7 linked regions of the Rattus norvegicus genome follow. The protein of the gene in region 6 binds, or shares a complex with, the protein of the main gene of each other region. Links are inferred from orthologs where the notes say so. Each region holds a gene or a part of one and is shown on either strand. Other genes may lie near its edges.

What was found.
Region 1: the proteins of Flna (region 6) and Cftr are in contact, whole or in part, in a crystal structure (PDB 3ISW), measured with the Homo sapiens proteins. The link is inferred for Rattus norvegicus from reciprocal best matches to the Homo sapiens genes FLNA and CFTR. Residues at the interface, in NP_001104026.1 of Homo sapiens: Thr2263, Gly2267, Ala2268, Gly2269, Gly2270, Leu2271, Ala2272, Ile2273, Ala2274, Val2275, Glu2276, Gly2277, Pro2278, Ser2279, Lys2280, Ala2281, Ile2283, Ser2284, Phe2285, Asp2287, Phe2311; in NP_000483.3 of Homo sapiens: Ser10, Val11, Val12, Ser13, Lys14, Leu15, Phe16, Phe17, Ser18, Trp19, Thr20.
Region 2: the proteins of Flna (region 6) and Itga2b are in contact, whole or in part, in an NMR structure (PDB 7SFT), measured with the Homo sapiens proteins. The link is inferred for Rattus norvegicus from reciprocal best matches to the Homo sapiens genes FLNA and ITGA2B. Residues at the interface, in NP_001104026.1 of Homo sapiens: Thr2263, Gly2267, Ala2268, Gly2269, Gly2270, Leu2271, Ile2273, Ala2274, Val2275, Glu2276, Gly2277, Ser2279, Ile2283, Phe2285, Asp2287, Arg2288, Lys2289, Gly2291, Cys2293, Val2295; in NP_000410.2 of Homo sapiens: Trp1019, Lys1020, Val1021, Gly1022, Phe1023, Phe1024, Lys1025, Arg1026, Asn1027, Arg1028, Pro1029, Pro1030.
Region 3: the proteins of Flna (region 6) and Itgb3 are in contact, whole or in part, in an NMR structure (PDB 2MTP), measured with the Homo sapiens proteins. The link is inferred for Rattus norvegicus from reciprocal best matches to the Homo sapiens genes FLNA and ITGB3. Residues at the interface, in NP_001104026.1 of Homo sapiens: Gly2236, Arg2264, Ala2268, Gly2269, Gly2270, Leu2271, Ala2272, Ile2273, Ala2274, Val2275, Glu2276, Gly2277, Pro2278, Ser2279, Lys2280, Ala2281, Ile2283, Phe2285, Asp2287, Gly2291; in NP_000203.2 of Homo sapiens: Lys742, Ile745, Thr746, Pro771, Leu772, Tyr773, Lys774, Glu775, Ala776, Thr777, Ser778, Thr779, Ile783, Tyr785, Arg786, Gly787, Thr788.
Region 4: the proteins of Flna (region 6) and Itgb2 are in contact, whole or in part, in a crystal structure (PDB 2JF1), measured with the Homo sapiens proteins. The link is inferred for Rattus norvegicus from reciprocal best matches to the Homo sapiens genes FLNA and ITGB2. Residues at the interface, in NP_001104026.1 of Homo sapiens: Val2241, Thr2263, Ala2266, Gly2267, Ala2268, Gly2269, Gly2270, Leu2271, Ala2272, Ile2273, Ala2274, Val2275, Glu2276, Gly2277, Pro2278, Ser2279, Lys2280, Ala2281, Ile2283, Phe2285, Phe2311; in NP_000202.3 of Homo sapiens: Leu753, Phe754, Lys755, Ser756, Ala757, Thr758, Thr759, Thr760, Val761, Met762, Asn763.
Region 5: the proteins of Flna (region 6) and Fblim1 are in contact, whole or in part, in a crystal structure (PDB 4P3W), measured with the Homo sapiens proteins. The link is inferred for Rattus norvegicus from reciprocal best matches to the Homo sapiens genes FLNA and FBLIM1. Residues at the interface, in NP_001104026.1 of Homo sapiens: Met2207, Gly2208, Thr2263, Arg2264, Gly2267, Ala2268, Gly2269, Gly2270, Leu2271, Ala2272, Ile2273, Ala2274, Val2275, Glu2276, Gly2277, Pro2278, Ser2279, Lys2280, Ala2281, Ile2283, Phe2285, Cys2293, Glu2306, Phe2311; in NP_001337080.1 of Homo sapiens: Lys7, Arg8, Val9, Ala10, Ser11, Ser12, Val13, Phe14, Ile15, Thr16, Leu17, Ala18, Pro19, Pro20.
Region 7: the proteins of Flna (region 6) and Itgb7 are in contact, whole or in part, in a crystal structure (PDB 2BRQ), measured with the Homo sapiens proteins. The link is inferred for Rattus norvegicus from reciprocal best matches to the Homo sapiens genes FLNA and ITGB7. Residues at the interface, in NP_001104026.1 of Homo sapiens: Thr2263, Gly2267, Ala2268, Gly2269, Gly2270, Leu2271, Ala2272, Ile2273, Ala2274, Val2275, Glu2276, Gly2277, Pro2278, Ser2279, Lys2280, Ala2281, Ile2283, Phe2285, Phe2311; in NP_000880.1 of Homo sapiens: Pro776, Leu777, Tyr778, Lys779, Ser780, Ala781, Ile782, Thr783, Thr784, Thr785, Ile786, Asn787, Pro788.

What each region holds. Positions count from the first base shown.
Region 1 is NC_086022.1:47,590,101-47,593,706, forward strand, and holds part of Cftr (cystic fibrosis transmembrane conductance regulator), read left to right. Parts: intron 1-1,534; coding exon 1,535-1,781; intron 1,782-3,419; coding exon 3,420-3,512; intron 3,513-3,606. UniProt on the Homo sapiens protein: Epithelial ion channel that plays an important role in the regulation of epithelial ion and water transport and fluid homeostasis. Mediates the transport of chloride ions across the cell membrane.
Region 2 is NC_086028.1:87,923,033-87,927,194, reverse strand, and holds the start of Itga2b (integrin alpha-IIb precursor), read left to right. Parts: upstream 1-1,361; 5' UTR 1,362-1,393; coding exon 1,394-1,581; intron 1,582-3,534; coding exon 3,535-3,656; intron 3,657-3,744; coding exon 3,745-3,842; intron 3,843-3,945; coding exon 3,946-4,108; intron 4,109-4,162. UniProt on the Homo sapiens protein: Integrin alpha-IIb/beta-3 is a receptor for fibronectin, fibrinogen, plasminogen, prothrombin, thrombospondin and vitronectin. It recognizes the sequence R-G-D in a wide array of ligands.
Region 3 is NC_086028.1:90,061,914-90,065,194, reverse strand, and holds the end of Itgb3 (integrin beta-3 precursor), read right to left. Parts: intron 2,691-3,281; coding exon 2,524-2,690; intron 663-2,523; coding exon 597-662; 3' UTR 594-596; downstream 1-593. UniProt on the Homo sapiens protein: Integrin alpha-V/beta-3 (ITGAV:ITGB3) is a receptor for cytotactin, fibronectin, laminin, matrix metalloproteinase-2, osteopontin, osteomodulin, prothrombin, thrombospondin, vitronectin and von Willebrand factor.
Region 4 is NC_086038.1:11,060,449-11,063,391, reverse strand, and holds the end of Itgb2 (integrin beta-2 precursor), read left to right. Parts: intron 1-1,194; coding exon 1,195-1,361; intron 1,362-1,719; coding exon 1,720-1,782; 3' UTR 1,783-2,383; downstream 2,384-2,943.
Region 5 is NC_086023.1:159,176,245-159,179,850, reverse strand, and holds part of Fblim1 (heterogeneous nuclear ribonucleoprotein L), read left to right. Parts: intron 1-1,712; coding exon 1,713-1,882; intron 1,883-3,606. UniProt on the Homo sapiens protein: Serves as an anchoring site for cell-ECM adhesion proteins and filamin-containing actin filaments. Is implicated in cell shape modulation (spreading) and motility.
Region 6 is NC_086039.1:157,168,795-157,172,400, forward strand, and holds part of Flna (filamin-A), read right to left. Parts: coding exon 3,541-3,606; intron 3,018-3,540; coding exon 2,420-3,017; intron 2,332-2,419; coding exon 2,158-2,331; intron 2,075-2,157; coding exon 1,912-2,074; intron 1,832-1,911; coding exon 1,671-1,831; intron 1,583-1,670; coding exon 1,412-1,582; intron 1,097-1,411; coding exon 973-1,096; intron 890-972; coding exon 733-889; intron 137-732; coding exon 1-136. UniProt on the Homo sapiens protein: Promotes orthogonal branching of actin filaments and links actin filaments to membrane glycoproteins. Anchors various transmembrane proteins to the actin cytoskeleton and serves as a scaffold for a wide range of cytoplasmic signaling proteins.
Region 7 is NC_086025.1:135,236,196-135,240,587, reverse strand, and holds the start of Itgb7 (integrin beta-7 precursor), read left to right. Parts: upstream 1-1,516; coding exon 1,517-1,717; intron 1,718-3,968; coding exon 3,969-4,170; intron 4,171-4,255; coding exon 4,256-4,392. UniProt on the Homo sapiens protein: Integrin ITGA4/ITGB7 (alpha-4/beta-7) (Peyer patches-specific homing receptor LPAM-1) is an adhesion molecule that mediates lymphocyte migration and homing to gut-associated lymphoid tissue (GALT).

The sequences.
Region 1 (3,606 bases), on a different chromosome or scaffold from region 6:
TTTGACACTTTACTACTATTTGTAAACAATTCTCTCCTTAGCCTCATGAATATATGTTTTATCTCTAGAAGAAAAGGGATACACATTGCCCTTTTACATCTTCTGCTATGCTGTCATCTATGCTTAACTACATCTCTACAAGGGAAGTATTAAGTTTTCTTTAGTCATGGGATCACATTTAATTAGGGGGAAAAATGGCTTCCTTTATACATAGGTAAGACAGGCAGGACCTGAATAATAGTCCACTTCCAGGACAAATTTATTGAAAGACAAAACACTACAATTCGTTAGGCTGATCACAATATAGGTTATACACATGACCTCTATCAGTGAGCTCAATAGTGCATTGTTTTCTTTGAGGACTTAAAAAATACATGGTTTTAGTACTACTACTTGACAGTAACTCTTACTTCTCTGGATTAGAGGTATGTGGCAACATAGCTTCTGTACGTCCAGTGCCTCCCTGCAGCAGGCTGTAGATCAGTTAGTTGTTCCTCCTTTCAGACAGAGCCTTCAGTTTGTGTTCAACATTGGTCTTTGCCCACACAAGAACTGGTTGTTGTTACAAGTGATCCCAAGTGTGGCGTAAAGTTTTATGGCTCCTGGAACAGTAGTAGGGTTGAGTGAGGGCATTATTGCTCTCCATCTTCCGTTTGTCACCGTCTTCTGTGATCCTTGCTTTTTGCCCACTAGAGCATTTAACCTCTTCCTATATGTGTTAAAAAAGTAAACACCTCACAGTTGGAGTTTGGACTAGAGCAGACTAGAAGATTGCAACTCAGGTGAGGTTTGACTGCAGATAATTACACTGCAATGAAAGGGAACAGGAGGGAGTTGCTACTCCCTGCTCTTTGAAGAACACCTGCAACTGAATCATTGGCCTCTGACTACAGAGTAGCTTCTGGGAAGCTAGTGCAGCATCTCACCTTCAGTAGTTGTGACTGGGAAGAGAATACCCAGGAACATGTTTCTCAGGTGCTCTGTGTCTGTGTTAACACCTGAGAACCTCTCCCCTTTATATATATATATATATATATATATATATATATATATATATATATATATATATATATATATATATATATATATATATATATAATCAATGCTATTTAAAGCCAAGCTAGAATCTCAAATAAGCTAAGAATCTGATGGATAACTACAAAATTGTCATTTTTGTTCATAAAGCTTGTAACATTGTTTTTCTTTTCACATATCAGTTCAAATGTTAATAATGAAGTTACTAAAGATATAAAAATAATATACAATTAAATCTATTTAGATAATACAATTTAAATTAATTTTCATTATAATTAAGAATTTAATTATAATAGTTATTGAACTTCTCAATGGTTTTGTGTTATCAAGTATTCTGTGTAAATACATGGTCTATTCATTAACAGTCATGTAAGCTAATTAAGGCCAAGAGAGAAGTTTTATAACTTGCCCAAACTTTAGACTGTATATTCAGATTTTATATTCTAAGACATCTGATAATTGAAAGAAAGTAATGTGTTACATCTTCTGTTTTCCACAGGGAGGAACTGAAAATGACCCGGAGGTCAGCCTATATGAGGTTCTTCACTAGCTCTGCCTTCTTCTTTTCAGGGTTTTTTGTAGTCTTTTTATCTGTGCTTCCCTACACAGTCATCAATGGAATCGTCCTCCGAAAAATATTCACAACCATTTCATTCTGCATTGTCCTGCGTATGTCAGTCACACGGCAATTCCCCACTGCTGTACAGATATGGTATGATTCTTTGGGAATGATAAGAAAAATACAGGTAACTTCCATGATGATATACTTACATAATTTTGGAAACATTTTAGAATTTGTATAATTGGAAAATTTCTCTAAAATGAATTTTTTGATTTTTTGATTTGTTAATGGATTAGATTTCCTCTTTTCATTTACAGTGAAAATCTAATGAAATAAAATCCTAGGAGATTTTGAGGGTCAAATGAAATAATTGTTTCTATAATCTAGAAAAATTCCATCCAAGAAATCTGCGATAAATCATTCCTAGGCAGCTTGTAAATATCCAAAAACATTGAAAATGAACTTCAGCAGGAAATTGAAAAATGTTCCAACTAACCCTGGAATGCCTGCCTTATAGGCCACTGTACTTTCTCATGAGGCATTGTTATGTTCCAAGAACTTCAGCTCCCAGCATGCCAGGAAGTTACCTGATCCCTGGGCAGGTGGGGCTTACAGGCTTATTTGGGGCTTTACATAAAAAGTAGTTTCTTCATAGCAAATTGAATCAACTTCTGAGATAAAATGTCTTATTATCCTTTAAAATATCTGTTTAAATATTCAATGTAGAAAGTAAATCATTATGATGAGTAAAATGTAGGGTGGAGGGTGGGCCACTTTTTATATGGTTCTCCAGTTGTTTACCTCATGCTGATGTAATCTTAACTTTTATATCTGTTGTATTTGGGCTTTGAAACTTTCGAATTAGTTAATAGTGATTAGAAGTAGAGGTATATCATTTGTACTTGTGTGCATAGGCATCCATGAATATACACATACATGTGTTGAGTGTCTTCTGGAGATTTGACATTATGTAGTAATTTGGGTTTCCACAGTTACAGCAACTGCCCTCTAGAGTGTCTGCCCTGCCCAGGTGGTCAAATCTTTTTCAGCCTTTTCTATTCAACATTTCATCCCCAAGGTTAAGTGAACTTGATTTGTGTAACTAGAGAGCAGTTACTGAAACTTAGAATCAAAGTGGCCCTGTGATGAATTCTATTTCTCTGATGACATCATCGTAATTGGGTGGAGGGATGAAAGTGGTAAGAAAAATGAGAAACATCTGAAAAAAAGAAGAAAATGAGACAAACCAATAAAGGAGGGGGAGGGGACAAGGAAGAAAGACAAGAGGGCAGTGATGACCAGTGAAGACTTCTAGGTGCACAGATTGAAGTTTTATGCTGTTCACCTTTCCTAAGAACTATGTGGTTTGAGTTTGCTGATGGAGGCCTTCCTCAGAGAGCTCAGAAGTCCTTCTAGAAGTCCTTATACTTCCCTTTATAGAGAAAGGCAATGACTGTGATGTTGCTTGTAAAGAGAGTGAAGAAAAAATTTTGTATCAGCCTTGAACTGAGACATGAATAATTGTCAGGGTTTCATTAGGAATTCATGTTCCATACAGCAGTGTAAGAAAGAAGCAATTGTGCAGTGATATCAAATATATAAAACTAATTTCATAAACTAATTTATTTAATGAATATGTTTTGTCTATGATGAATTCTACTGCTTGTCACTTTAAGACAATCGTAAGTTAATAATTAATAAACAACTTCTAACTTGCTACAATCCATACAAGGCACTGTAATGTTAGAATGTAAAATGCTATAACAATACATTTTTTGCTACTATGATTCTATAATTGAGAGGTTTGGTTTTTATTGACTAGGATTTCCTACAGACTCAAGAATATAAAGTGCTGGAGTATAACTTAATGTTCACAGGCCTAGTCATGGAGAATGTAACAGCATTTTGGGAGGAGGTGAGAATTCCTAAATATTGTGGATTTTAAAATATGTAAACAATTGAGTCTTTTCCTTTTCATGTAACTAAATTTCTAATCAATAAAAAATTAA
Region 2 (4,162 bases), on a different chromosome or scaffold from region 6:
TCATCTGGGAACAGCGGGGAGACAGAGGGTCAGCAGGTGCTGGTATAAGACTGCAGGCCTGTCATGAGCTTGGCACTGGGGGCACATCAGTGAGGAAAGCCCTGAACAAATCCAAGGAGCTTTTTGCTTAATGAGGGGCAACATCTTCAGCTGTGTGAGAGGAAGGGAGGAGTCGGGAGTTGTTCAAAGTTGGTAGGGCGGGAAAGTGGGGTAAGGCAGTGGTTAATCAGAAATAAGGGTGGAGCTTGGGGGGCATGGCTGGGTGATAGAGCACTTGTCCTGCGTTGATGAGGCTATCCCAGCACTGCAGAAAAGGAGAAAAAAAAATACAGACTATATGTGGCTGTATTCCTACATCCCTTTGCTTTGGGGCAAAAGGCGTGCAAGGCCAACAGGGCATGGAGCTCTGTTCCCCTTCCCCCCCCCCCCATATAGAAGGGGATTCTGTGGCCCTCACCCCTTTGTGGCCCTGAGAATCTGACCCCTCTCCCTTTGCTCCTTCCACCCTTGAGGAAGACCAGTCAACCTTTCAGCAGCAACTCATGCCAGGCTGTGAGCTAGGCCCCGGGACAACAGAAAGGACCCTTGCTCTCAAAGGATTCAGGTACTCAATTCAGTAAAAAAGTGTCATCAGGTACTGTGCCTGTGTGTGTGTATATGCCAAGGACTGAGGACTCAGGAGCTTTCTCCTAGACAATCTCAGAACGATGTCATCTCATCCCACTTAGGCCACGGCCATTCACTGCCAATATTGAAGGTGCCAGTGTAAACGCACCAAGACCTGGTTAAGATGGAGATGTGAGGAAACCAATGGCCAAGTGGGGCTGCCTGAGGCTGCCAAAGGCTTGCAGAGGAGGAAGCCGATAAATGTCCTACTCAAAATGATGACAACCTCGGGTTTTATCAGGGGAGAGCAGCTTCCTTTACCCCTTCCTCTCCCTCTAGCCAAGTCACAGTGTTCAGTGGTCAGCTACATGGGGGAGACAAGGACAGTACAACCGTGGGCCGTGGTGAAGTAAGACAGAGCTGTGAATTCATGTTTACACTTTCCCGGGCGGAAAGAGATGGTGGCCTGACTTTCACAGTGACAGAGGAGGAGAAAGGGGATTTCTGGGCCTGTGGCTGAGAAACTGAAACTACAGGACTTGGAGAGGAGCTTTTCTGGAGAGAAGGGAGAAGCAATGACTTCCGGTCATCAGCACCTATCCCCGGGACAGACCCTCCCTTTCCTAGTAGTCCTAGAGACCGTGTGGTCCAGAGGCTATTCCCCTCTGCCATGCCTGCTGCTAAGCCATGAGCTCCAGTCTGATAAGCCGAAACTTCCGGTGGTGGGGACTTGAGGGAAGGGGAAGAGCTTGACCATTCCTGCTTAGGACATTTGGGGAGAAGGAAGATGGCCAGAGCTTCATGTGCGTGGAATACCCTGTGGCTTCTGCAGTGGACACCACTGTTCCTGGGACCAAGTGCTGCTCCTCCTGCCTGGGCCTTGAACCTGGACTCTGTGAAGTTCTCTGTCTATACAGGCCCCAATGGCAGCCACTTTGGCTTCTCAGTGGACTTTCATAAGGACAGCCATGGGAGGTGAGCACTAAAGGAGAGAGGTCTGCCCCTTAGCAGTGCTCCTGTGGCTTCTTAGCGCCTAGTTGAGCAAGGTTGACTCTAGGGTCTGTTTGAGTGGTGCTCCTGTCAGGAATGCTGGGGGCGGGGGCGCAGGTTCCAGGGAGGGCACTGTGGAGGGATAGCAACAGGGAGCACTGAGCAAACAAAGGTAAAAATGTCTTTTTCTTTTCCCCCAAGCGTCAATGATGTGACTCGCTTTACCTCCCTCCCCTCACTCTAAATTGACTGACTGGCAAAGCTACAAGTGCCTACCGGGTACACCTTGCTTTCCTCCATTCCTCACCTCATCTCCTTCCAAATTACAGATGTTTGAAAAGAAGTAATAAATTACTAACAGTCAGTATGGATCAGGCTTTGAGGTCAAACTGCTAAGATTAGAGTCCTGGCTTATCCACGTAGCTGTGTTTATCCTGAGTGACTTATTGAAATGGACACTGGAATGCCCAGGTCTGGGGAACAGTAATGACCATTCTCAAAGGCAGCAGCAAGAAATTATTTCTTCTGCCTGAGAGAGCCACTTCATCAAAAATCAGGTTCCCCTTCCCAAGATGACTTGCATCCAGAGACTCTCCATGAGGGGGAAGGAACCTAGGGTTGCCTCAGTTCTGATGATTATAAAGGGTGCTTCTCTAGCTGACCGTGGTAGCACATGCTAGTAAACCCAGTACTTGGAAGCTGAGGCAGGAGAACTACCACAAGTTAAATAGCCAGGGCCACATAACAAGATTCTGTCGGAATGAATAAATAGAACTCCTGAGCATGGTGCCATGCCAAACACCTTTCATCTCCTTTAATGGAAACAGAGGTAGGCAGTGCCCTGTGAGTTCGAGGTCAGCCTGCTAGTCTAAATAGTGAGTTCCAGGACAGCCAGAGCTACACACACACACACACACACACACACACACACACACACACACACAAAGAGAGAGAGAGAGAGAGAGAGAGAGAGAGAGAGAGAGAGAGAGAGAGCGCCTGTCTCAAAACAAATAAACAAAGCCAACCAAAGAAAATCCTCCTGGCTTCAGAGCTCCTGAGTGTTTCAATACAACTCCTGTCGTTTCTTCCTCTGTCTCCTGTTTCTTCCCTGAAGGTCTGATCACGCGGACACAATTTTTTTTTTCCGGAGCTGGGGACCGAACCCAGGGCCTTGCGCTTGCTAGGCAAGCGCTCTACCGCTGAGCTAAATCCCCAACCCCACGGGGACACAATTTAATAAGCATCCTGTGTGTTTATTAACATGCACACTCTTACAAAAGCATGTTGCTGGGGCATACTAAATACCTCTCATCCGTTTATTGTATTAACTCTTCCAACAGCATAATTGGTTGCTATTACCTCCGTTTTACCTATGGCAGACCTGGTTTAAACAGAGACTGCTAGGATCCTCAACCCTGTCAGCACCACACATCCCAGTTCGCTCTCACCAACCTCCGCCCTTCCAACCAGTTCTCACTAGGTCCTCTCTAGAAGTTTGACAGGCAGAAATTTTGTCTGGTTCTTGTTGGGAGGGAGTAGGGGGCAGGAAATCAGTGTACAAAGTATAAGAGGTCTTTTCAATAAGGATTATTAAAACGTTCCCTTCCAAACCGAACCAACTGGTTTAGTCTCAAGTTAATTTCCTAAGAGTCCACTTTCAGCTGAAGTGAAGAGGTCGGCCTCAATAGGTTATCTGTGAGGAAAGATGGTCCACTTTTTCCTATGCCACACCTCCTTCTAGGTACTGCTGGGGTAGTGGGCACTGGGCAGGATAGAAATGCTATAATCGGGGCTGGGGATTTAGCTCAGTGGTTAGAGTGCTTACCTAGGAAGCGCAAGGCCCTGGGTTCGGTCCCCAGCTCCGAAAAAAAGAACCAAAAAAAAAAAAAAAAAAAAAAAAAGAAATGCTATAATCTACTCACCCAGCTTTCCTAACAGCGTGTCCATCGTGGTGGGCGCCCCCAGGGCCCTAAACGCAAATCAAGAGGAGACTGGAGGTGTGTTCCTGTGCCCCTGGAAGGCCAATAACGGCACATGTACCTCGTTGCTTTTCGACCTCAGTGAGTCTCAACCATGGAGGGGAAAGGGGGAGTCAGGTGGAAATGGATGGCCGGGCTCCTGAGCGCCACCTTTTCTTGTGCCCTCCAGGGGATGAGACGCGAAAACTAAGCTTGCAAACTTTCCAAACCTTCAAGACCGGGCAAGGACTTGGGGCATCGGTCCTCAGCTGGAATGACGTCATTGTGGTGGGCACTGTGGACAGGTCAAAGGGAGCAAGTCCAGGGCAGGGACACGTTGGGGGAAGCCCGAATAAGCTCCCTTCCCCACTCTCCTGTGGATCTGCTCTAGGCCTGTGCCCCCTGGCAGCACTGGAATGTCCTAGAAAAGTACGATGAGGCAGAGAAGACTCCGGTAGGAGGCTGCTTCGTGGCTGAGCTCCAAAGCGGGGGCCGCGCAGAATACTCGCCCTGTCGCTCCAACACCATGAGCTCCGTTTACTCACAGGGTTTTAGTAAGCGCTGGTCCGCCATTGGCTCCGCCCACTAGTCGCTGCAAGCCCCGCCCA
Region 3 (3,281 bases), on a different chromosome or scaffold from region 6:
AACTCTTGAGGACTCGGGGTTCTCCCCTAACTCCACTGTCAGCCTGAAGAAAGGGGAACCGGGTAGAGGCACAGATGATACAACTGAGCTTCAACGCCAAGCACTTTCTACCATAGCTGTTGACAGTCAGATCCAAGAACCAGAAACTTACAAAGTCCATAAAGAACCAAGACTTGGCATCACTTCCTCTGGAATGGTGGGGGTTGGGGGACCTCAGCCCTGCCCTTCTTTTCTGGGGGTGGAGAATGGGCTGACAAGGGAAGCTGGCTTCTCAGAGGTGACAAGCACCTGCCTGGCATCTTGAGTCCCCTCAAGCTAAGCAGGAAGAATCCTGTGGGGAGGGATCCTGAGGACAAAGGCTGTGGGGCTCTGCCTGAGACACATTGCAAGTTTTAAATTACACAGTTCCCCACACTCAACACATACACATGTACACACAGAGATACATCCCCACTGACTGACATTCTTCCAGCCCGTCCCAACCCACACCCCAAATCCCAAACACACATTTAAAAAAAGTCCTCTGTAAACACAATGGCAGAGACTCCCACAGCTCTGGCATCATCTGACGATGGTCTAAGAATGACCTCTTCTCATTAAGTCCCCCGGTAGGTGATATTGGTGAAGGTGGAGGTGGCCTCTTTATACAATGGGTTGTTTGCCTGCAGAGGGAACAGAGGAGAATCCATGGTCAGCTCCATACACTTTCTTACCCCAAACAGTTAAACATCATCTGAGAATATTATCCCGGACATCCTTCTTCAGAGTGAACTGTCAGAACCCAGCTACCGCTTGCACTTACACATCTACTCTTAGGATGGGAACAGATAGGAAAGAAGGAGAGGAGAGAGATGGTGTGTTACTGCTGTTTCTAAAGGTTTTTAATTCAGCCCATCACTTCGAGGGGGAGGACATTTTGGCAGTCCCAGAGTAGCGTGCCATTTTGCCCTGTCTCTCCCATTTCCTCTGCTGTCCCTACTTTTTCTTTCCCTTCATCAAGGGGGCAGTGCCAAGTGACATGAGCCAGAAGGGGAAATGGAGTAGGTGGCGTCAGAACACAGAGCCCAGCTTTTGCCGAAATAATTCTTGTCTTTATCTCATCCCCTGAACCAGTTGCTACACACAGACCTGCTGTGTGCCTTCACCAGGTTTCTCAAACCGCTTCCTAACAGAAAGTAATGGATCCTCCTTAATGGTCGTCAAGAAATCTAGAACATTCCCTCCATGTCAAGAAATTTAGAAAAGTCCCTCAGAGGCTCGAGTGCTGTACATCAGCATTGTCAACCTGGGCGCTGTGATCCCAGTGGAGTCATATCTCAGGTATCCTGCCTATTAGTTATTTACATTATGATTTATGAATAATTACATAATTGCAGTTATGAAGTAGTGGTAAAATAGTTTTATGGTTGGGAGCACCGTAGCATGAGGAACTGTATTAAAGGGTTACAGCATTAGGAAGGTTGAAAACCACTGAGCTACAGGGTCCTAACAGAAACATCTCTGTTTCTTGGGTTCAGTGGATACAAAGTCTGCCAGAAACAAAGTTTCAGACTAACCCTGGTCCTAATTGGAGAGTTACCTGGTCACTTGGTGGGTCCAGGAAAAATAAAATGAACAGGAAGAGAATAGACTAAAATTAAATAGACAAATGGTTCTCAAAAGAACGCTGGTCCATGGGCTGTCAAGCTGGCAGAGTCGGGGAAAGGCAGCTGCTGCCAGGCGTGACGCAGCCGAGTCTGATCCTCAGAACCCACATGGGAGGTGGGCGAGAACTGACTCCTGCAGGCTGTCCCCTGACCTCTGAAAACATGCCGTGGCCTAAGCACACATGCGTTGGGGTTCTTGTTGTTTAGACGCTCGCTTGATTGGATAATATCGGGTTAAACTGCATTCTGGGGTGTCCGGTGGAGCCAGGTTTGGAAGCCACCACCTCTCATTTGCAGGGAATGAGAAAAGGGAGGTAAACGGATGCAAGGCCACTACATGTAAGAGGTTGATCCCCAAAGTAATTCCTATATTTCCTCATCCCTCTCTTTGTCAGGCAGGCTACTTTGCTTCTCTGCCCTCGGTTTCCTTAACTATAGAATGGGAAGGATAAGGGCTGTTACAGAGATAAAGTGTCAGAAGAATTTGGAATAGTTCCACAGAGCCCTCAGAAGATGCTAGCTACTATGTCACTTTCCAATCATGTTTAAACTTCGGGCTTCGTTGCTACAGCACGGTGTGTTATATGTCCCTCATACAGATTTATCTTGTCCCCTACTGGACAGTTATTCTCCCTTTGACACAATATCCTATGTGCATGCAGCGATCCTGACATGTGGTTGCTGTAACGTAGAGGACTAGGAGGTCTCGTGACTCAGACGGACAAAAGAACAGTCAGAACATTTCCGAGTTTCCAGAGCAGAAGGGTAACTGGGGAACAACTGTTGAGGCTGAACCACCACTGAGGATCTCCTGCCTCAATCTTGGGTTCTTGAACCAAAGACTCAGAAGAACGCAAAGCACATCACAGCCACTCACTGTGTCCCATTTGGCTCTGGCTCGTTCTTCCTCAAATTTAGCAAATTCCTTCCGGTCATGAATGGTGATGAGTAGCTTCCAGATGAGCAGAGTAGCAAGGCCAATGAGCAGAATCGCCCCCATCACTGACAGCAGGACCACCAGGATATCAGGACCCTTAGGACACTCTGGGAGACAGAGACGGAGAGGGCAGGAGTCACCGGAAATGTCCAGGAATGAGATCGTTAACAAAGGGATACGGGACTGGAGATGGGACCCTCAAGAACAGGTTCACCACTTTTTAAAGGCATAATCTTTAGGATGGCAATAATCTGTCCTAGGTGGTCCAAATCGGGGTTCTCGGGCTGAACCTAACCCATGTGGTGTGGCTTCACCCAAGCATACATTTTAAAATTTAGCGGAGGGATGGCTCCAAAGCTAAGAGCTTACGTTGCTATTGCCCCCGCATGGTGGCTCAGACCCATCTATAGCCCCAGATCACCTGACACCCTCTTCTAACCTCCACCGGCACCCAGTCATGCATATGCTATGCACACATACTGGGAGGCAAGTTGCTCACACGCATGAATCTCAAAAACAAAATATTTTAAAGAAAACATTGATTTGGGGAGTAACTAAGCCTGGTGGAAAAACCCTTGCTATTTTCCATGAAGCCTTGGGCTCTATCCCTAGCATTACAAACACAGACACAGACACAGACACAGACACAGACACAGGCACACACACACACACACACACACACACACACACACCCCTAC
Region 4 (2,943 bases), on a different chromosome or scaffold from region 6:
CAAGTGGACGAATCATGTCTCCAAGCAGTAGACGCGGGTAAAACTGCTGTTTGGTCTAGGACTTAACAGAGAGGAAATGAGCAGGCAGGGTGGGCTGGAGGGTGGCAGAGAGTCTCCCTGTGCATGGAACTCAGAGAAGTGGCACTGAGAAAAACAGGTGATGGGTCCTGGGGTCCCCAACGGATGAAGTAAGAAGTCAGATGCCAAAGGGCTCGGGAATGCGTTGAATAACGAGGACCAAAGAGGGACGGCATGATGCATTTGGGCAAAAGATAGGACAGAATGCCTTATACAGACTTAGGCAAGCAGACTTAGAATTTCAGCCTCCCACCGCATCCAGACTCAGATTGCTGAGGGGAACTGCTGAGGAGCCACTCAGGACCACCGGAAGCTCAGGTTAGCAGCCTACCAGGCTCCTACAGGACTAAGACCTGCAGCCTCCCTGAGCCTGTCTTCAAGTCAGGAACCCCTAAAAGACAGATAGGATGCAGACTTTGCCCTTGGCATTTGGGACTGCTGGTTCCAGAGCAAGGGCTCCTCCTCTCCACCACGACAAACATGTTGGTTTTGCGCCACCTTGGCCAAATTTATTTAACCTCTGCGAAGGCAACACGCCTCCCTGAAAAGGCCACGATGATATGAGAGATCCTATGCCATGTTGTTGGGGACCCACCTGGCAGGGAGAGGTCCACCCTGACTGTTAGTACCCCTGTCTCACAGTCAGGGGTCTGCTGTGTAGCCCTTCCAGAACCCATACCCAGGAGAGGCCAGCCCAGCCCTGGACCTTGGGACAGTGTCCTGATCGTCACATGGCTGACCACAGGTCTCTGGTTCCTGCCACTGGTTACTACGGAATCCCTTTGCCTGGACGTACCAGCTCAGACATTACGGCCAATTCTCATACTGCACAATGAGATAGTCGGGGGTGCCTCAAACACAGCCCTAGTTTGGGAACACCAGTAGGTGGTGACCAGGGATGCTGTTATTTCAACAAAGCTTTCCTCGGGTTGGCCACTGACCTGGCCAAACAGCCTTCATGTTTCCTTTGGAAGCATCTCTGGTAGGGGTGTAGCTAGATTCTCTCATCTCCTCGAGAGTTGTGGCAAAGGGTGATTTTCCCCCGTGGCAGGAATAGCATGGCACACTGGCTACTGTAGGGAGGGGCTGACCCTTGGTTGTGTGCCTCTTCCTTAGAGTGTGTGAAAGGCCCCAACGTGGCTGCCATCATAGGGGGCACTGTGGCCGGCGTTGTACTGATTGGTGTCCTCCTCCTGGTCATCTGGAAGGCTCTTACCCACCTGACTGACCTCAATGAATACAGACGCTTTGAGAAGGAGAAACTCAAGTCCCAGTGGAACAACGTGAGTGGCCTTTCTTTGAGAACCCCCAGAGCACACAGGGGCTTCCTCTTCTCTTTGACCTCTCACTGGTAGGGATGGGTACACTGTATCCTAGGGGTGCTTGGGAAACTCACACAGAGTGCCTTCCCCAACTCTGTTACTTCTCACAGTGGGACTTGGGCCATCCTGGAGAGCTGGCACAGGCCTCACCCCAGCTTAGCCTCCAGGGTCCCAGAGTGTTCTGTGCTGCAGGTTTAGCCTTGAGGCTTAGAGCCTAGGAAGGCTTCCTGTCCTGGTTGGCTCCTTAGAGTGACTTCTACTGCTCTGGTGACTTCTTGGAGTCCCTGCACTGACAAGAGCATGTTTGATTCCACTTTAGGACAACCCCCTCTTCAAGAGCGCCACGACAACGGTCATGAACCCTAAGTTTGCTGAGAGCTAGAGAAGGAGTCAGAGGAGACCCCTCCAGACCATGCCTCCTCCCCTCTGCAAATAGAATGTAGCTTACAGCTAGCCCCAGTGCTGCCAAGGATCCAAAAGCCTACTTTGTTTCTTTCCGCCATTATATCAAGGCTGCCAGGGTTTCCACAGACTCATCTTCCGACCTATACAATCTTGCCACAGAGCCTGCAGATTGTTCCGGAGTCCCAAGAGGTTCCACACACGTTTTCGTGCATAAAGGGAAGACAGGGGTCTCAGTAAAGGTGGCCCCAGCTTATTTATATTTAAACTTGTTAGCGTATAAAACTACTATTATATTGTTAACATCCTGTCCGTTGTATTATATGTGAGTGTAAAACTATATCCCACATATATCAGAATCATGTGTGTAAAAATAATAAAGCTTCCATTCAGGGCTGCAGAGATGGCTCAGTGGTTAAGAGCACTGACTGCTCTTCCAGAGGTCCTGAGTTCAATTCCCAGCATCCACATGGTGGCTCACAACCATCTGTAATGGGATCTGATGCCCTTGTCTGGTGTGGCTGAAGATAGCAACAGTGTACTCACATACATAAAATAAATAAAGCCTTTTAATAAAAAAATTAATAAAGCTTCCATTCGTGCTGTCCATGGAAGGTAAGCTTTGTGGAGTCATTTGGGGAAAGGTGGCTGAGGTCAAGTGCTTTGTCCCCACTTCCTGGTTGTCCATTCACATCCTGAGGGTTCTGGTGGGACCTGGGCCATGGAATGGAAAACTCAGTTCTCTTTTTCCCTGTCCTTGGGCCTGTATGTTTGGAGCCCTCCGAGACTCAGTGCTAAATCCTGTGTGGCTGTCCAACAAGGCTGTCAGATGACAAAAATGGCACCCTCCTCTCTCCTGCTCCCAGTATCAGTCAGGTTCAGCACAGAAGGATGGGGTGGTAGCCAGAACCCAAAGCAGAAGGTGGGTAGGAAGGTCCAGGTAACCTAGAAATTACAGCGTTTATGGTGTTCCTGGGTCTCTGAGAATTATGACCCAGCATACTAGGTAGGCTTTTGGGTTTTTTTTTTTTTTTTTCGGAGCTGGGGACCGAACCCAGGGCCTTGCGCTTCCTAGGCAAGCGCTCTACCACTGAGCTAAATCCCCAACCCCGGCTTTTGGTTTTTTTTTCTGGCTATATTT
Region 5 (3,606 bases), on a different chromosome or scaffold from region 6:
TAAGAAACAAAGAACCAAACTATCTGCAGCTGGCAAAATCACATCTCTGCTAGAGCTCGAGGCAAATCATAGTCAGCTCCTTTGGTCAGTCAAAGCATACCTGAAGGCAAAATGAAAGCACATTCCCATAATATTTCTATATTTTTCGAAGAAACTAAAACCCCCGAATTGTCACTACAGTACATTTTTGCCACTCACAATTTTTTGGTTTTGTTTTGTTATTTGAGACAGAGTTTCTCTGTATTTGGCCCAGCTGTCCTGGAACTAACTCAATAGGCCAGTCTGTCCACCTGCCTCTGCCTCCGAAGTGCTGAGATTAAATGTGTGAGCCACCACTTGCTTGATTTTTTTTTTGGGGGGGGGGGGGGTGTGAGGTACAATCTTACAGTGTAGCCCAGGCTAGCTGTCTTCCTGCATCAGCCTTCTGAGTGCTAGGATTACTGGTCAGAGCCGCCACACCCAGCGTCAGACTCTTAGGGTTTTTGTTGTTGTTTTGTTTTATTTTTTTAAATGTTTATTTTAGCCGGCTATGGTGGTGCATACCTGGCACTCAAGAGACAAAGGCAGGATCTCTGATTTTGAGACCATCCTGGTCTCCAGAGCAATTTTGTTGGTGGTGGTGGTTTGGGTTTGATTTTTCCAGACAGGGTTTCTTGTATAGCCCTGGCTGTCCTATAGACCAGGCTGATCTTGAACTCAGAGATTCGCCTGCCTCTGTCTCCCAAACGCTGAGATTAAAGGTGTGTGTGTGTGTGTGTGTGTGTGTGTGTGTGACCATTGCCCGACTAAGCCCAGCTATTTTTATTATTTTTAATTGTGTGTCTAAGTGGGTGTGTGCCCGTTATCCTCAGTGTCCAGAGGGCATAGGATCCCTGGACTTTCAGGTAGTTGTGAGCTGACTGATCAGGGTAGGGGGAATTGAACTCAGGTCCTCTGCAAGGCAGTATGTGTTCTTAAGCAATGAGATGTTTCTTCAGCTCCCCTCTAAGCATTCTTGTGACTTCAGTTTTTACATAAAGATCTTGACAACTCAGGATCATCTGGGTGTTGGCATGTATCACCTGGTCCCCTGCACTCTCTCGAGACGATACCTCAAAGCCAACTCTGCTTTCTTTTCCACTCTCTCTGTCTCTGTCTCTCTTGTCTCTCTCTGTTTCTCTCTCTCTCTCTCTCTGTTTCTCTTTCTCCCTCTCTCTGTCTCTTTGTCTTTCTCTGTCTCTGTCTCTCTTGTCTCTGTTTCTTTCTCTGTCTCTGTCTCTCTGTCTTTCTCTGTCTCTTGTCTCTCTCTCCTCTCTCTCTCTCTCTCTCTCTCTCTCTCTCTCTCTCTCTCTCCACACCACCCCCATCCCCATCTTGCTCTGTAGACCAGGCTGGCCTGAGATATCACCAGCTGTGCATAAAGGCTGGCAGATTACCTCTAAGTTTGAGGCCAGCCTGGTCTAACTAGTGAGTTCCAGGACACCCAAGGCTGACACCCTGCTCTGAAAATAACAAAAAGGTGTGTTTCCTGGTGCCTGCCCCAATACCATCTTTGATTTTAGTTTCCCAAAGGCCGTTCACCTGATGCCGATCGGGATAAATAAACCCTCTTCTGTTATCAATTGAGGGAGCCTTTGAGGCTGGGCCCTGGACACACTAGGGCATCATATTCAGGGTGGTGATTGGGTACTGCCTTCCTGGGCTGCTGATAACCTGTGTCTCCCCTACCCCAGATGTCTGTGGTTTCTGTCACAAGCCCGTGTCCCCTCGAGAGCTGGCTGTCGAGGCCATGAAGAGGCAGTACCATGCCCAGTGCTTCACCTGTCGTACCTGCCGCCGCCAGTTGGCTGGACAGAGATTCTACCAGAAAGATGGACGTCCCCTGTGCGAACCTTGCTACCAGGTACTCCCCTGCATGTGGCCCCCAGGTTGCACCCACTGAGAGTGTAGCATTGGATTCCTTACGGGCCTCCTAAGAGACTGGACACTGTGAACCCATTTCACAGTCGAGGAAGCTGAGACTCTGAAAGGAGTAAAATCAACCAAGCAGGATTAGGTTCCTGTGGCTGCTATAATGTATGCGTCCACTTCCTTTTTTTTCTTTTTTTCTTTTTTTCGGAGCTAGGGACCGAACCCAGGGCCTTGCGCTTGCTAGGCAAGTGCTCTACCACTGAGCTAAATCCCCAACCCCATGCGTCCACTTCCACAGCAACAGCAGCGACAAAAAGATATGTCTGGTTGAGAGGTTTCAGTTCGTAGTAAGATGGCCTTGCCAGTTTGAGCCTCTGGTGAGGCCCTGCATCGTGGCGTGGGCTTCTGGGAGGACAAAATGGCTCCCTCGTGACCAGAAAACAACATAGAGGAAGGGACAGTTCCAAACCGATAACGTGGACCATCATTAGGTCCCGCCTCCTAAGGGCTCCACCCACCTCCCAATACCGCCCCCTAGAGGCCAGGCCTCATGGGCGGATGGAGAGCATTCAAGACAACTGAACCAGTTTGGTGGCTTCAAACAGTTCACATTTCTTTTTCATAGTTATGGGCGCTATCAGCTCAAAAATCAATTCCCTTAATCAAGTCAAGAGATCCTCTTCTCGATCTTCCGGCTCTAGAGGAGGCATTTGCTTCCCTTTTTAGTTTTGTTTGTTTGGTTTGGTGTTTTTGTTTTTTAAAAGATTTATTTATTATATATAAGTACACTGTAACTGTCTTCAGACAAACCAGAAGAGGGAATCGAATCCCATTATAGATGGTTGTGAGCCACCGTGCGTTTGCTGGGATTTGAACTCAGGACCTCTGGAAGAGCAGTCAGTGCTCTTAACCTCTGAGCCATCTCTCCAGCCCTTGGTTTGGTGTTTTGTTTTTTGTTTGGGGAATTGTTTTGTTTCATTTTGGTTTTGGTTTTTGGTTTTTTAAAGGTTTCTCTGTGTAAAAACCCTAGCTGTCCTGGAATTCTCTTTGTAGACCAGGCTGGCCTGGAACTCAAAGAGATCCACCTGCCTCTACCTCCCGGGTGCTGGGATTAGAGGCGAGTGCCACCACGCCAGGCCTCTTTTGGGGGGTTTTGAGACTAAAACAGGGGGGAGGGTGATCTTGAACTCCTGACCTTCTCCCCCACACTTCTGAGTAATGAGCCTGCTATGATGGTGTCCATGTATTCCCAGCTTTCAGAAAGCTGAGGCAGGAGGATGAAGAGTTTAAGGATCCTGGGTTATAGAGGCAGACCCTGCCTCAAAAAAACTAAGCAAAGAATTTAGATACCATTCATCAGAAGTAGTGCTGAACATGCAAGGATTTAAGTGGGCGGGTATGATATATGATAGCATATGCCTGAAATCTGAACACTTGTGGGTGGAGGCAGGAGATTCAGGAGTTCAAAGTCATACTTAACTCACTGTCTCAAAACCAGCCCCCAAAGTGTGTGTGTGTGTGTGTGTGTGTGTGTGTGTGTGTGTGTGTGTGTGAAAATTTTGTTAAAATAGTCCTCAGGCTGAGCACATACTTCAGTGACCGGGTGCTTACCTGGCACACAAAAGGCCTTGATTTCAGTCCTTAGTACTCAGGTACTGAAGGAGGGAGGAAGGGAGGAAAGAGAAAGATCAAGACAGAGGGGGCTGGCGACACCTC
Region 6 (3,606 bases):
GGGAAAAGGGGATCTCATCACCACCATACTTGATGAGGATTGTGTACCGGCCTGTCACATCTGGCACATAGGCCACTGTGTATGTGCCATCATGATTATCTTGGATGTGTGTCTTCTTGGGCTTGCCTTCAGGGTCCTATGAGGCAAAGAGCAGGCAAGGAAGTTGGTCCAAGCCTAGCAAGACCTGGACTATCTCAGGCCTTTCACAAATACGTCAAGTACTAGTATAACAGCGATATATAACAGGGATACAGCTTCTGGGCCCTTCATCCCTCATGGCCCCAGTGGCTGCCTGCCTGTGGCAGAGAGCAGAACTGAAGCCCCCCAAAATCCAGCATTCTCTGACAAGACAAGAGATATGACCAGTTTGGTGCCCAGGCTCAGCCCTGGGCCTATCCTAGGGCACTATGAGCTTATATGAAAGATCTCAAGTGTTGCAACATTATACCTGTTCTGTGAGAATATTGCATGTAGGGAATCTGAAGGGCTACAGGTTTTAATACCATACCTAATAGCAATGAATGTATGTTTAGGAAAGCTTGTTTCTTTCAACTTGAAGAAAATTGTACACATCCTAATGTAGTTACATTAACAGACCAGAAGCAGAGGCCCTGTCCTTAGAGCACAGCTCCAGACAGACTAGTTAGCAAAACTGAGCTGCCTGCCTATCTGTAGTCCTACATCCCAGCTGCCCAGACCTGGTTCCTTTCCTCTCTTCCCTAGGAAGCTCACCGTAATCTGGACAGCCAACAGACCCTCCCCAGCATCCTTGGCATCAATGGTGAACTCCACAGGCAGGCTGGCAGGCACACCAGTGGTGTTGAGTCCAGGTCCACTGGCCTTCACCTTACTGGCATCATGCGTGGGCAGCACCTTGACCTTGAAGGGGCTGTGAGATTAAGGGGTTATGAACCATCGGAAAAGCTTAAGTATGTAGTCTGCCCCCAACAAGCAAGTGAATGTGCTTCTTACCTCCGTGGCACTTCTTCTTCACCATACAGCACAGAAATGCTATAGGACCCTTCTCGGCTGGGCACATAGTTGACAGTCTGAGTACCATCAGCATTGTCCACTACATCCACTGGCTCCACCAGGCCTAGCCCCGGTCCCAAAGACAGACCCTTAGGTTGGCTCTTTGTACCCATTCCCACCCCCATCTCCCTGAAGGACTAGGGCTGGCCCCAAAGACTAGACCTTAAGTTTTTAACACCCAATTCTAGGAATTCCTTAGGCTTTCCCCCGTGCTATATCTAGTCAGTGGTCAAGTCCTGTCTACTATACCTTTTCTAGGGTTCTGCCTGATTTTGTGGTTACCTGAAACCCTTCTACTATCAGTGCTAACCCACATGCTACTGGGCCTAAAATAAATATGCCTCTATAACTCCCTGTTACCAGGTATGTGAAGTCTCACCTTTGGGCCCCTGTACTTTGACCTGCAGTGGGGCAACTCCGGCTTTGCTTGTGTCTACCTGAAAGGACTGAGGGAGGTTGGCACGGACCATGCCTGGGCTTAAGCCAGGTCCAGAACACTTGACTTTAGATGCATCTGTCACATCATGTACAGGAACCTTGAAGGGGCTACCTGGGGATTGATACAGAAGGATGATAGCTATGTAAGACACTGTGAATATGGCAGAGTCCTAGTTTCATCCTTGTCATCATCTTCTCACCTGGCACTTGGTGACCACCATAAGTGACGTTAAGGCTATAGGTTCCAGCTTCATAGGGGATGTATTCTACCGAGCAGCTGCCATCTTTATTATCCATACAAGACATCTTGGCCTCTGAGGGACCCTCAACAGCCAAGCCCAGGCCACCTGTGCCAGCTCCCCTGGTCCAAACAGACAGTCTGTCATTACTTAGGGTTCCCAAGCCCATTGCCTGCCCCTGCATCTTCAGTGGCTCACTCACCTAGTCTCTACTGTGAACTTGTTGGGTTTGTTGGTGGTACCACTTTGGATGCCTGGCCCATGGACACGCACCCGGGAGGGGTCACAGCCCTCTGTTACAGGCACCTGGAAGGGGCTGCTGGGTACAGGGCTGCCATCATAAGTCACATCCACGGAGTGTACTCCTGGAGGGCAGGACAGGTCAGGAAAAACTAGGCTTTTCCACTTATTCCCTGCCCTTCCTAAGGTACCCCCAGCACATTCATACCTTCCTCATATGGAGTATATTCCACTTTGTATGTGCCATCACCACAGTCTTGCACATAGGTATCTGTCAGATTGCCTGAGGGGTTGGCCACACGGGCCTTGACATGTGGCCCTCCAGTCTGTGTAAGAGCCCGGGCATCTACACTGAACTCAGTGGTTGCCTCTCGGAAGACACCTGGAAAAGGCCATAGCGAGGGGGCTGTGGCTGTAGGACTCTTTGCACCCTGTAACTGCTACCCACCCCCTACAGCAGGTCTCCTTACCTTGACCTTCAATCCCAGGCCCATAGCACTGTACGCCTGAGGTATCTACAGCAGGCTCCACCTGTAGCTTGCTGGGGAAGTTGGGCACAGGCTGGCCACCATACTTGATGGTAACAGTGTAAGCCCCAGGACAAAGAGGAATATAGGTAATGGTGTGTGTGCCATCACCATGGTCCTGAATGTATACTTCAGCTGGCAGTCCTGCCTCAGAGCAGATCTCAATCGTCAACTCGGCACTGCCAGCACTTGAGCAGTCTACTTGGAACTGCCCTACCTCACCAGCAGTAGCCCGCTCCAGCCCAGGGCCTGAGCACTTCACCTTGGATGCATCAAAACAAGGAACCACATGGGCCTTGAATGGGGATCCAGGAATGTGGGTGTCAGCAAAAAGGATGTTGATGTTGTAGTCCCCAGGCTCAGTGGGCACATAAGACACAGAGCATGTACCGTCCCCATTGTCCAGGCACTCAAGCTGTGCTTCACAGGGGCCTTCCACTGTCAGGCCCAGGCCACCAGTGCCAGCTCCCTTTGTATCAATGGTGAAGCGGGCAGGGGAGCCTGCATTGCCCCCCTGCAGCCCTGGTCCAAATGCCTTCACCTGAGGGAAGGAAGAAATAAGAAAGCAACTATCAGCCCAACCTTTCATATCTTCTTTTGCCCTAGGTTTCTTCCTTACCCAGAGACATGACAGGAATAGGCTGCCTAATAGGTCATCCACTCATCAATCATAAAAATAGAAATGACAAAGGTTCAGGAAAAATCTGGAGAAGATAGGGGACCCTAAGAAAGGAAAATAGGCTAGTCATGACGGTGCAAGCCTTTAATTCCACCCAGTAGAAGCACATGGATCTCTGTGATTTTGAGGTCCACCAGGTTTATAGAGTGAGTTCCAAGACAGCCAGGGCTAAAAGAGAGAGAGACAGAGACAGAGACAGAGACACAGAGACAGACAGAGACACAGAGGAGAGGACAGGGGAGGGGAGGGGAGGGGAAGGAAGGGAGGAAAGACGAGAAGAGGGGAGGAGAGGAGAGGACAGGAGAGGAGAAGAGAAGGGAAGGGAAGGGAACAGAGAAGAGAAGAAAAATGGGTCCTCCCCTTATAGCCTCCCAAAACTAATTACCTTGCTGGGTTTGGTAGGAGCCACAGCTTCTACTGGAAAGGGACTGCCAGGTACAGGCACACCATC
Region 7 (4,392 bases), on a different chromosome or scaffold from region 6:
TTGGGTTCGGTTTCCATGACAGCTTACAACCATCTATAACTTCTGCTCCAGGGATCGGATGCTCTCTTCTGCCCTCCAAGGGTACCAGCCACACACGTGGTGCACAGACACAATAATAAAATGAAATATAAATCCCAACATCAAAGGGGGATTTCTTCTTAGGCATCCTTCCTCTGGCTACTGCGTTCCCTGTGTGAAGCCACCTTTCCCTGAGCACACACGTCCCCATCTCTACTCCTCGCCTCTCTTCCGCTCTTCTAGACTTGAAGGCTGCCGAATAAAGTTTACTCAATTCCTTCACTTAACAGATATGGAGACTGAGGCGGGGGAAGTGGAGAGGCAGGCAGTGCTAGGTGTGCTACGGAACCATTGAGGGATCTAGGTGGGATAGAATCTGGTGCTGCCTGAACTGCGGCTTGGAAAAGATTGGGGTGCAGATGTTTCTGTTCCAGACTGTCCCACCCTTTTTCCTTCCTGCCTTCTTTTTGTTTTTGAGAGAGATCTCATTGTATAACCATAACCCTGCCTTGCCTGTAGCTCACTGCGAACACCAGGCTGGCCTCAAAAATCACAGAGATCTATCTGTCTCTGCCTCCCACATGTACCACTGGATTTAAAAAAAAGTATGTGGGGTTTGGGGATTTAGCTCAATGGTAGAGTGCTTGCCTAGCAAGCACAAGGCCCTGGGTTCGGTCCTCAGTTCCAACAACAACAACAACAACAAAAAGTATGCATATGCAGGTGTACCTGTGTGGATATGTGCATATGGATTCAGATGCCCATGGAGAGTGAGTTACAGGCAGTGGTGAGATGCCTGAAGCAGGCTGGGAATAGAATTCAGGTTTTCCAGAAAACAGTGTGTGGTTTTCCACCCCCTTAGATTTTATTGATTTTTATTTTGTGAATATGAGTGCTTCTTACTGTATGTACATCTATGTACCACATGCATGACTTGGAGGCTGAAGAGTATGTTGGATCCTCTGGAACTAGAGATACAGAAAGTTGTGAGCTGGCATACCATGTGGGTGCTGCGAATGGAATCCAGGATGGAAGGGCTTTTTTTTTTTTTTAAGATTTTATTATTTTATGTATGTGAATACACTGTGGCTGTCTTCATGCACACCAGAAGAGGGCATCGGATCCCATTACAGATGGTTGTGAGCCACCATGTGATTGCTGGGAATTGAACTCAGGCCCTCTGGAAGAGCAGCCAGTGCTCTTAACCACTGAGCCATCTCCACAGCTCACAGACCCTTCCTTAAGCTACTCTGTCCACCCTGGGTACCTGAAGCCTATACAAAGGCTGATAGGTTTCTGAGACCCCTCCCTTGCTCTGGCATCTGTCCCTTCCCACCATTTTGGAAAAGCTGCTGAATCCATAGAGGGATGTGAAACTGAGGAGAGATCCCGAGCTGGGGTAAGGTGTGGCTTGGCAACCACAAGCTAAGTTTAGAGGACCAGAGCTTGGGCCCTCCCTGAGGACCCATGTGTCTGTCTTTATATTCCATTACAGGCCATGGTGGATTCATCAACTGTTCTCATTTTTCTGCTCGTTCTGGGCGGAGGTCAGAGTGAGTTAGATACCAAGATTACGTCCTCAGGGGAGACCACAGAATGGGAGGATCCTGACCTGTCTCCACAGGGATCCTGCCAGCCAGCTCCTTCCTGCCAGAAGTGTATACTCTCACACCCCAGCTGTGCATGGTGCAAGCAACTGGTAAACATGGGTCTGCGGCCCCTGAACACGTGGGGTGCGTGTTGGGTGGGCATATTTGTGCTTTTTCTGGGTATACTCTTCAGTCTCACGTGTGGCTGAATTTGGACAGACAGGATTCCGACGTGTGACTCATATGCACATAAGTTTCTGTGCATACGTGGACGGAACCCGTGACCCATGAGCTCAGAGGAAGATGTCCTTGTGGGAGTTCATGCTTCTGCATGTGAGAAAGTGGCCTGGCCAGTTAAATTCTGTGACAATATGGAACAGAAAAATATCTCTTATGAATTGAGAGGCTTGGAATTCAAGAGCAAAATACTGGCCCGTTTGGTTCTCTCTGGACGATTTTTCCTGGCTTAGAGATGGGCCACCTTCTTGTTATATTATTACATGGGAATTGGGGTTTGGGGAGAGGGTCCCTTTGCTGTGGATTCTTTTAAAATGATATTTATTTTTATGTGAACGTGTGTTAGTATGTGGATGTGCACCCCATGTCTGCAGGCATCTGTCAAGGACAAAAAAAGGGCATTGGATCCCTTAGAAGTGGAGTTACCATGTAAACCACCATTCGGGTGCTGGGAACTGAACTTGTGTTTCTCTGGAAGAGCAGTGAGTGAGGTTAACCACTGAGCCACCTCTCCAGCCCTTCCTGTCGCATCTGAAGAGGGCACATCCCATCGTGAGGGTCTCACCCTTAGGACTTCACCTAAACCCAACCATTGCCCAAAGGCCTCACTTCACATACCATCACAACGAGAGTTAAACATTAAACCCAGGTGGGGAATTGTGGCACATGCCTTTTTTTTTTTTTTTCTTCTTTTTGGAGCTGGGGACCGAACCCAGGGCCTTGCGCTTCCTAGGCAAGCGCTCTACCACTGAGCTAAATCCCCAACCCCGGCACATGCCTTTAATTCAAGCACTTGGGTGGCAGAGGAAGCAGGTCTCTGTGAGTCCGAAGCCAGCCTGGTCTACAACACAGATTCCAGGACAGACAGAGCTACATATTGAGGTTCTGTCTCAGACAGTAGATAGATGGATAGATGATAGATAGATAGATAGATAGATAGATAGATAGATAGATGGATGGACAGACAGATGGAGGGACAGACAGACAGAGGGACAGACAGATAACCACAGAGAATTTGGAAGAAGAATCCAGTCCATAGCAGAATGTACATGATGGGGCTTCTGAGTCTGTCTCAGGTATGAATGTGTGGATCACTATTTCCCAGCATGCAACTTGGAGAAGGAAGTAAATGAAGGCTTCCAAAAGCCTGTGGACTTAGGTGAGATTGGTGGGAGGAGGCCAGTGGGAAGCCCTGGGGTACCTGAGGGACAAAGGATGCTGCGGAGTGTGTAATCCTTGCTGGTCAAAAAAATGCTGTTCTTGATGGATGCCTTAAAGAGGAAGTGCTCCAAGAAGAGCTTCAGCAGCAGTCTCTCACAGGAAGATGGAGACTTAGATCAGTGCAGACTTGGTAAGTAAGATATAGGGCACACTGACAGGCAGCCATATTTACAACTGCCTAAAGGGACCACGAAACCATTGATAGTGAAACTGGAAGATAGACTCTGTAGGCAGGGAGGTAAAGGTTCTAGACAGTGGCTAGAGAGATAAGACTCTGGGGACAGCCTCTGATCTGTGTCTACCTCTTCCGTTCCCTAGGGGCTGGCACCAATGCCCACCGAGAAGCCACCTAACCATTTCCTTCCCCTGTGGCTTGTCAGTCAGTGTAGGGTACCAGACGTAGTGAGTGTGTGTGTGTGTGTGTGTGTGTGTGTGTGTGTACGCGCGCGCGTGTGCGCGGACGTGTCTGTCTTTATCATCCTCCTTCCCAGAAACTGGTGTGATTGACCGACCCCCTTCCTATTTTAATCTGGTCATGCAGGGGAAGTTGGACTACGGGGTGGTTTTTCTGTATCCTTGAGGTCCCAGAGATCTCAACCGGAAGTCTGTGGCTCTAGTGAGAAAGGATAGGTGGGAGGCTGTGGGGAAAGGGGAATTGAGATCAGGAAAAGGGCGAGGGACTGCTACAGGAAGTTGGGTGCTGATGAAGAAGAAAGGACTATAGGTTTTCCAAGTAGCTGTGGAGAACGTGAACTGTGAAAATAATCAGGGCTCTGGAAAGCTGGTTGAGAACAGAGCGGGATGTGTAGGTGATTGCAGGCGGTGGGGTTTGCAGGATGGTGTTGGTAGTCGGGTTGAGAACCGTGGGAGCTGGGGTTCAGTGTGCCTCCTCTTGGTGTACAGAACTTCACTGCCTCGGGGGAGGCAGAGGCGAGGCGCTGCGCGCGGCGTGAGGAGCTACTGGCCCGCGGGTGCCCCGAGCAGGAGCTGGAGGAGCCGAGAGGCCACCAGGAGGTGCTGCAGGACAGGCCACTCAGCCAGGGAGACCGCGGCGAGGGGGCCACCCAGCTGGCCCCGCAGCGGATCCGCGTCACGTTGCGACCAGGTGAGTCTTGGGCGGCACAGGGTGCAAGTCTGTGCTGGCCTCGAATGCATTGGGCTGCAGAATCGAGCCTCCCTTTCTCTATCAGGGGAGCCCCAGAAATTCCGGGTCCGCTTCCTCCGAGCTGCGGGATATCCCGTGGACCTGTACTACCTTATGGACCTGAGCTATTCAATGAAGGACGACTTGGAACGTGTGCGACAGCTCGGGCAAGCCCTGCTGCTC